Linked DNA regions of Sus scrofa. The protein of the gene in region 1 interacts with the protein of each later gene in a pairwise test. Links are inferred from orthologs where the notes say so. Each region holds a gene or a part of one and is shown on either strand. Other genes may lie near its edges.

The links.
Region 2: the proteins of SOX5 (region 1) and ARID5A interact in a two-hybrid assay, tested with the Homo sapiens proteins (2 studies listed by BioGRID and IntAct). The two-hybrid records come from large-scale screens. The link is inferred for Sus scrofa from reciprocal best matches to the Homo sapiens genes SOX5 and ARID5A.

What each region holds. Positions count from the first base shown.
Region 1 is NC_010447.5:50,149,178-50,152,993, reverse strand, and holds part of SOX5 (transcription factor SOX-5), read right to left. Parts: intron 1,518-3,816; coding exon 1,344-1,517; intron 1-1,343.
Region 2 is NC_010445.4:46,703,904-46,707,719, forward strand, and holds part of ARID5A (AT-rich interactive domain-containing protein 5A), read right to left. Parts: intron 2,551-3,816; coding exon 2,435-2,550; intron 1,236-2,434; coding exon 1,097-1,235; intron 737-1,096; coding exon 145-736; intron 1-144. UniProt on the Homo sapiens protein: DNA-binding protein that may regulate transcription and act as a repressor by binding to AT-rich stretches in the promoter region of target genes.

The DNA.
Region 1 (3,816 bases):
AAACAGTTCAGAGACGGTAGAGATGCAAAAAAAATGCACTTTCTTTTGATCAGTTCTGGTTTTTGATTATACATGGATATATATTATACATAAATATTCATACATATTTATCCATAAATATTCATGTGTTCTATGTACACTTACAGCTTCACATGTTCATATCTTTTGAGATCACCTTCATCTAAAGCTCTCAAAATCATTTAGATGAAAATCGAGATGCAGTTTTTATTTGCTTTTGTTTCATTACAAATGCATGCTCTGGACTGGGTGGCATCTATTACCATTGTTGAAAATATGAGATCATAAAAACACAGATACATGTTTGGTAACTACTTTCAGATGACTGGTTCCTTAATGTACAGAACCAAAAGGCGCACTACACTAAGTACCTGTAATTCCAAAGGCATTACAGATTTTAATAAAGTTTTAATAACTTTGATAAATTTTATTACTTATTTGTCACAGACAAAATCTGCTGATAGAGTTAAGTGTTCCTATTCTATTTCTTATCACTTAGCTCTTAGAAGTCAGAGAATAATGAAAATTTGCTTAGGTTGTCCAGAATCTGGGCACCACGCCTACTTGAGGGTGAAGATAAAAGATAATGAAGAGGATGACAATAATGATGATGATCATGTCAAAAGAATAGCACCAAAGAAATGGAATCCTCTCTTCCTTCTTTCTGGGACTTAAATCAGTGTATAATAGGTCTCTTTATAATCAGTACTCTTTCCTCTCACCCATGTTTGCTGTGTATCTATGTACACTAGGTAAATATGTACTTTGCCATGTTAAGCTGAAAGCTGCCATAGCAGAAAAAGTCCCTTTTTAAATGGTACTGAAAATATATGTAAGGTTATTAAAAGTAAAAATTTAAAAATACACACTCAACAGCTTCTTGTATCTTGACGATCTAAACTGATGTTCAGTTATAGTACTAGAACAAACATCATCACCTCCACCCCCTCCCCCACAACAGGACGAATTCTGTAGTCCACAAAGAAATAAGCCTGGCCGATACCAAACGGAGTAGCTTATCTGAAAAGAACACTTCTTCCTAGTCTTGGTACAAATATTTTTAGATTTTTTAAGAAGAGAAAATATTACAACAGCTAGTACAGAAACACACAAGGCAATTAGCTACAGATTTTGGGCAGTTTCGTGATGAACATGGACTGCTTCACCATCAGAAGAGAAGGGTCAATCAATGATGGTCCAGTTTATTTCTGGATAAGTAGAAAACATGAGTTCCTGGCCTCTGAATCCAGTTTCTTTCGACAAATGCAGAAGAGAGAACTATATATTTATTTCATATATCTCTTAACCCTGAATACTCTCCTTACCCAGTATCTTGCTGATGTTGGAGTTGTGCATGTCGGGAAAGGCTTGAAGGATTTTCCTTCGTTCATCTTTAGCCCACACCATGAAGGCATTCATTGGACGCTTTATGTGGGGTTCATTGCTACCACGCCCTCTGGATTCTCTATAAATTCTTGATTCTGAGACTCCAGCACTTCCTAAAAACAGGGAACACGGCTTCACATTAGAGTTACATTTTTTGGCAGTTCTCTTCCTTGCATTATTGTTTTTTGGTCCATTAAAATATGTGAAAAGGAAAAGCACATCTGATAACAGCACTTCTAGTTCTTGAGCCAGATGCTCGTTTATGAAGTTTCTGTGATAAGCCTCATGGTGGCAAATGTTGTATTGGTATTTTTTAATCCACTTCTAATATATTTAACCTTTCTTTCAATGGGCTATGGACTGTTTCACCATTTACTTTCAAGAGCAGACAAGAAACCTGAATCTGTGATCTTTGATGCAAACTGGAAAGATAACAGTTGGATTAGATCAATAGGCATGCCAGTACTGTAGAAATATTGATTAGGTCAAAAAGCTCAGAAAGTGTGAAATATCAGTCTTCAGCAGAAGGGGTGACTACAGGGAAAGATGAGTCTCTGCTACCTAAAGACTGTCAGAACGTGGTGTACTCAGGGCCCTTTCCTCTCTTAGGTTATATAAATAAAAACACTACTAGATAAATGTTTGAGGTTAAAACACAATGTAGATATTTCTTGTAGTGTGTCTGACTCCTTTAAAATTATGTGTGTTAATAAATGCGTGAAATATGCTGATGCAGCAATGACAGTCTGTTCCCCAAAGGATATCTGAAGTAGAAAAAGAACAAAGGAATAGTTACATCACTATCATTTCTTCGAAAGTCTACAGTCACATATTTCCCTGAATTTCCCCCCTTAACATCTAAGTTATCCAAAGAGACCCAATGCTGATTATCTTCCAATTAGCATGACTCAGGATGATAAAATGCAACCAAGAGTCACAATGGAACCTATGGGAGGTGCAGTCACTCCTCTAGGCTTCTGACTTTTTGTAGAATGGCTTTAGTAGATTAAACTGCTTCAAGAGCTACTTGAAATTAGGCAAAGAAAATAAGGAGAAGGGGAAAAATACCAAGAACCCTGATGCTAACTTTTTCAGGGTGATCATTACAAAAGATGAGAGAGATGGTAGCATTTTTACATGGCAGCATGTAAAAAATTTAAATATTTTGGGGATTTTTAGAGCTTGTAATATCAATAAAAGTGCCACTTTTCTTCCTTCACACTTCTTTTCCTTTCTTTTCTTAATTTGAAGGAATAGGAATGAACCAAAATTACCTAGACTCGAAGACCTCTATTGCAACAAACAAAAAAACACAGCATATTTGGAGTTTCTCATCATTGCTCTTTCATAATATGCTCTTTGGTCTTATGAAGATTGGAAAATATTTTGCATAAAGCATGATTGGATTTAACAAATAAGAGCAACAAAATTTTGATTTTTAATGCTGCTTACCATGGGTTTATTTTAGCATGCTAATACAACTTAAAATTTATGAAATGTGTTATTACCAGTAACTGTCTTTTTATTGGCAAAAATGAGTGCAAATATATGGTGACATCTTTCTAAAATGGGTTTCTAACTATCAAATGATCATTTGCACATCTGCCTTTTCTTGTTCTTACACCTTACAGAACATAAGCAATAAAATGAACATTATGTGACTTCATCAAAGCTAAACAAGCACTTTGTATGTACTCAGGCCAGGTTTATCTTAGCCAAACAAAGTAGAAAAGAGAAGGAAATGTTTGGCTACAACAGGCTAGAAAACCACAGAATTTCTTGGCTATCCAATTCAATAAAATTTTGTCTTGACAGAATTATCAGTTAAATGCTCAAGTGCAGCTAGTCCCCTGGCTAGTGCAGAATGAGATTTAGAAGGAGAATTGGCCCAAGGCACAGAGGAGACAGCTGTGTATTTGGGGGATTCAAGGGAAGTCCTTCTCTTCTTAAGTATGCTTCCCACCAGTTTGCCCTGGTGCCATCTTTTCTCTATTCAGGGAACTTCTGCCATAGCAACAAAGTTGAATTCTTAAAATGAATGTATGTCACCTGACATTCGAGAGAGGGTCCCTGTCAAGGTTCAGTGTCAGAGGAATACCACTTTCTTCTTCTTCCCTCTTTGCTGGGCTATCAGAATTAGAGCATCAATTTATTGAGTTGTCTCTGTAGATGTTTAGAATGTTCACGGATGACGCAGACAACAGAAATCTTGAGGCACATGAGGGAAGCAGAAGACTGCACAGCTGGAGTTGTAGTCAGGTAACAGATGGGAGGTGGGACTCCTGACTGTGTGGTAGACAGTGTAAGAGAGAAAGGGTCCCCAGTGCAAAAAAAAAAAAACCATCCTGAAAATGTCCTCTGAGCCCCGTATTCCGGTCAGGGTTTGACAACTGAAAACTATAAGAAATAGGG
Region 2 (3,816 bases), on another chromosome or scaffold:
GCACACCACCTACAGCCGTGGGGGCCCCGCCCCCCCTCATCTTGTCCAGGAGGCCTGCTGCCCTTCTCTCCCCAGCCAGGGTCCCACTGGCCCAGCCCTGGGAGGGAAAGGCCCAGGTCCCATAACCTGGGGGCCCAGCCGTACCTCTCGTAGTGGCGGCGCGTGCACGTGGCCGCGCTGGTGCTGCCCGGGCTGCCCCCCAGCTCATCGTACACATTCTTCCAGAGGCGCCGGCCGGTCACCTGCAACAGCGCCAGGTGAGGGCATGGCCCGCGGGCACCCTCTGGCCTCGGGGTCCCCCCACAGCAGGGATGGGGCAAGAACACATTCTTGCAGCTGCTCCAGCAGCAGAGATGACAAGGTTGGAGGGGGCGCGCCTGGCCGCCAGCCAGGTATCCCTCCCAGGGGCTGCTGACTGCTGGCCTGAGCAGCTTTCTGAGCACAAGGGCAGAACAGATGCGGAGGAGAGGAAATCTTGCTTTGAGCAGCAAAGTACCAGCAGGCAAGGTGGGTCCCCCCTTTTCCCCACAGCCAGGCAGGGGGGCTGGGAAAGGGCAGGCTGGGGACCCTGCCTTGTCCTCCTGTCTAGGGGCAAGGACAGCAGTGTTGAGCACACTGTTCCCCAGCTGGGGCCATGTGCTGGGAGACGCAGCCGGGCGAGAATGCGGAGGTGACTTCCTTACCAGCTCATAGGCCCCCAGCTTCTCCACGGCCTTGTAGATCTTCCACAGGTTAACTGGAGAAAAGACAGGGCAGCGCCACTGTCAGTCTTGGCGGGAGGAGGGGGCAGCCAGCAGCCTGTCCACATGGCCCTGTTGGGCAGGCCCAGAAGCAGCACGCACCCAGACAGGGCCACTGGGATGCCCTGGCAGGCCGCGCCCTCTGCACTGGGGGCCCAGTGGCCTGTGAGGATGGAAATCCAGCCCCACCCATTGCCAGCCTTGTGCCTGGAGGGGGGCACCCTTTCTGTGTGCACCCCCCTGGGTGGGGGGGGCAACATCCAGAGTCACCCAGAGTGGAGGTGCTGCCCCAACGCCCTGTCTGGGTGGGGTCCCCTGCCGGGCCCCCCCTCCCTGCCTGCACCCCAGGGACGCACTCTGCTTGAAGCCAAGATGGGGCACCCTCTCGATGGGCGTGTGTCGCTCCTTCATGAACTTGTAGAGGCTGACCAGGAAGGCCTGCTCCTCCTCCCGCTCCTGCTCCTCCTCCCGCTCCCCGCCTGCCTCGGGGGGGTCCTGGGGAAAGAACAGGAGGCAGGAGGATGAGTCCCCAGTTGGTGGGAGGCTGGGGACAGGTGGAACCACAGGCTACCTGGGAGGAAAGAGATGTGTGGCCCCCAACCTCGGGCTCCCACAGGAGGGAGCAGGCCCCCAGACCCAGCTCTGGGCTACAGTGATTGTTCCTGGGGTCAGAAAGGTGTGGGTACCAGCTGTTAGTGACCAGGACGCCAGGTCAGGGTCCACAGAGGCCTGGCTCCAGAGGCAGCCATGGAACAGCCTGCACCTTCTCTAGGCCTCTCGCAGATCAGCCATCTTGCTCTAGATTTGTTACATCTGCATTTCAGCTCCTCTACAAAACTGTGGGCTCCCAGTGGTCCTCCAAGGGCTCCTGTGGTCCAAGCTGAAGGAAGAAGGCACTTGCTGCTCTCTATGGGGCTCCTCTGCCAGCCCTGCCTCTGTGACCCACCCATCTGCCTGGTGAACTCAGGGAGGGGAACCCTGTCCTGGGCTCCGATGGCACTGCTGTCAGATGCACAGGTCTTTTGGTTTCTGCTCCCAGGGGGCAATTTCTGCTGATGCTGTTCATCTGGCTGGTGGCTCAGGGCAGGGATCTAAGGTCCTGGTTGGGAAGGCCCCCAAAACTAAAAGGACAGGAACCATCTGGGCCTAGAATCCTTTGGAGAGCCACGTGTTCCATGACAGTCTATTCAAGTACCAAGTCCATGTTTTTAACTAGTCAGAGATCTCTGGTAATAAGCAAGCCAGCTCACAGGTTACCCATGAAACTGGAACATGTGAGAGACCAAGGCAACCGGTTTGTGCAGCCTCAGAATGAAAATGCTCTGACCTCTGCTCTTCAAATGAATGTGCCCATCAACACAGCCGCGCTGATCTCACCATGGAATGTCCGTATTATAAATTGGAATGACAGATGGACGTAAATGTAGTTCGACATCGTAGAAGAGTGCTTCAATCTGTTTTATAGATGGGGGTTCCAGGTAATCCTCATTTGGTAAAAGGGTTCTGCTAGGAAAACCAAGTCTGAGATCCCTGCCAGAGGGGATGGGCCCTAGCTCTCTGAAGGACCGGAGGCGGGGGTGGGGGGGGTACGGAATGCATCTCTAGGCTCCCCACGTTCACCTGGGAAGCTGTGCGGAAGTGGGTGGGCAGGAGGGAGGGGCAGGGAAGAGGCCCCAGGGGGTTGCTCAACTCACCTCCAGCTGGACAGGGCTCTGGCTCCTGCTCTGTCCACCATCAGGCTGAGGGGACACAGGGGGGTCTAGGGGGTCACTGCCCTCTGACTGTTTCCTTTTCCCTTTGACAGGAGGTGCTGGAAGGGGAGGAAGAGGATGGGGTGGGGGGAGAAAGGACATGAGATGCTGGCAGGGAGGAGCAGGTGGCAGGGGAGGCAGTGTCCGGGTAGGCCAGGTGGAGAAAAGTCCTCACCTGCCCTGTACAGCGTGTCCCCTGCCCACTGTCCCAAGTGCTGCTGGTGGCCCTTTAAACACACATGGGGCTCACTTCTGCCTACTCCTCTCAACCCCACAGGCCCTACCACCCTCCTTCCTCCACTCCAGCCCTTTCCCCACAACTTTGAAGGAAATCCTAAATCAAGTGAGAGGAGGCTGGGGTTGGGCCTGTGGTTCTTAGGGAAATTCTGTCTCTAAAACTTGCCCAACGTTTAGGTAGGAAGTTTTCACAGCAGCTCAGCAGAGCTGGGAAACTGCAGAGGCTCCTGCATTTGTGGGCCCTCAAAGCACCATGGGGCTGCCTGGACCGTAGATCCTCCAGGAGTAATTGAAAAGAAAGTAAGATCCTGTTTGTGAAGCATCCAGCCTTTCCCTGAGCATCAGCAGAGTCCTAACTGCTCCTCATTAGGCCACAAGCCCTCCTCACCAGCATGGGTCCTGGTGGCCCATTGAGTCTCACCTGACAAGTCACTTCCTTGGGGTGTTCCCTCCCAGCCCCCAGCCAAGCACAGCACTTCTCTCTAGTCATCCTAACTCCTGACACCCTCAAGAGGGCCACCTGAACTGAGATGCCCCTGACAGTTCAGTGGGGCCATCCAGCGCCCACACACAGTAGGTGCAGGGAAGGGAGCAGGAGTGATTCTCACAACAACCTGAAGGTGCGGGTGCAGGGAGGAGCACGGGTTTGATTTACTGAGGGCATCATGAGAGCTGATGGCTGCAAAGACACAACACCCCTGCCACTGCAAAAAGCACAGCCACTGCGGGCTCTGACCACGGGCAGGCTGGCAGCAGGTGTGCGGTCAGGAGCCCCCATCTTCTGACCGCCTTTTTCTTTTTCTTTTTCCTTTCCCTTCCTCTTTCCTTTTTGTTAATCCAGCGTGGACTGTCCTGTACTCCTGGTTCACTCCAGCTCGGGAAATCCTTACTGCTGGGAACCTGCAAGATTCCCCCTCCATCTCAAACAGAAAAAGAATCTCCCTAACAAGAAACCCACACCAGTGACCCACAAGGCCAGCGGTACCCAGAAGCACGACTGTAGAACCCCTGGCAGCTGGACAGTGTCCCTTTGGGCAGCTGTTCACATGGGTGCCGCCCAGGTCCTCGGTTCTGTGTCCCTGGCCCTT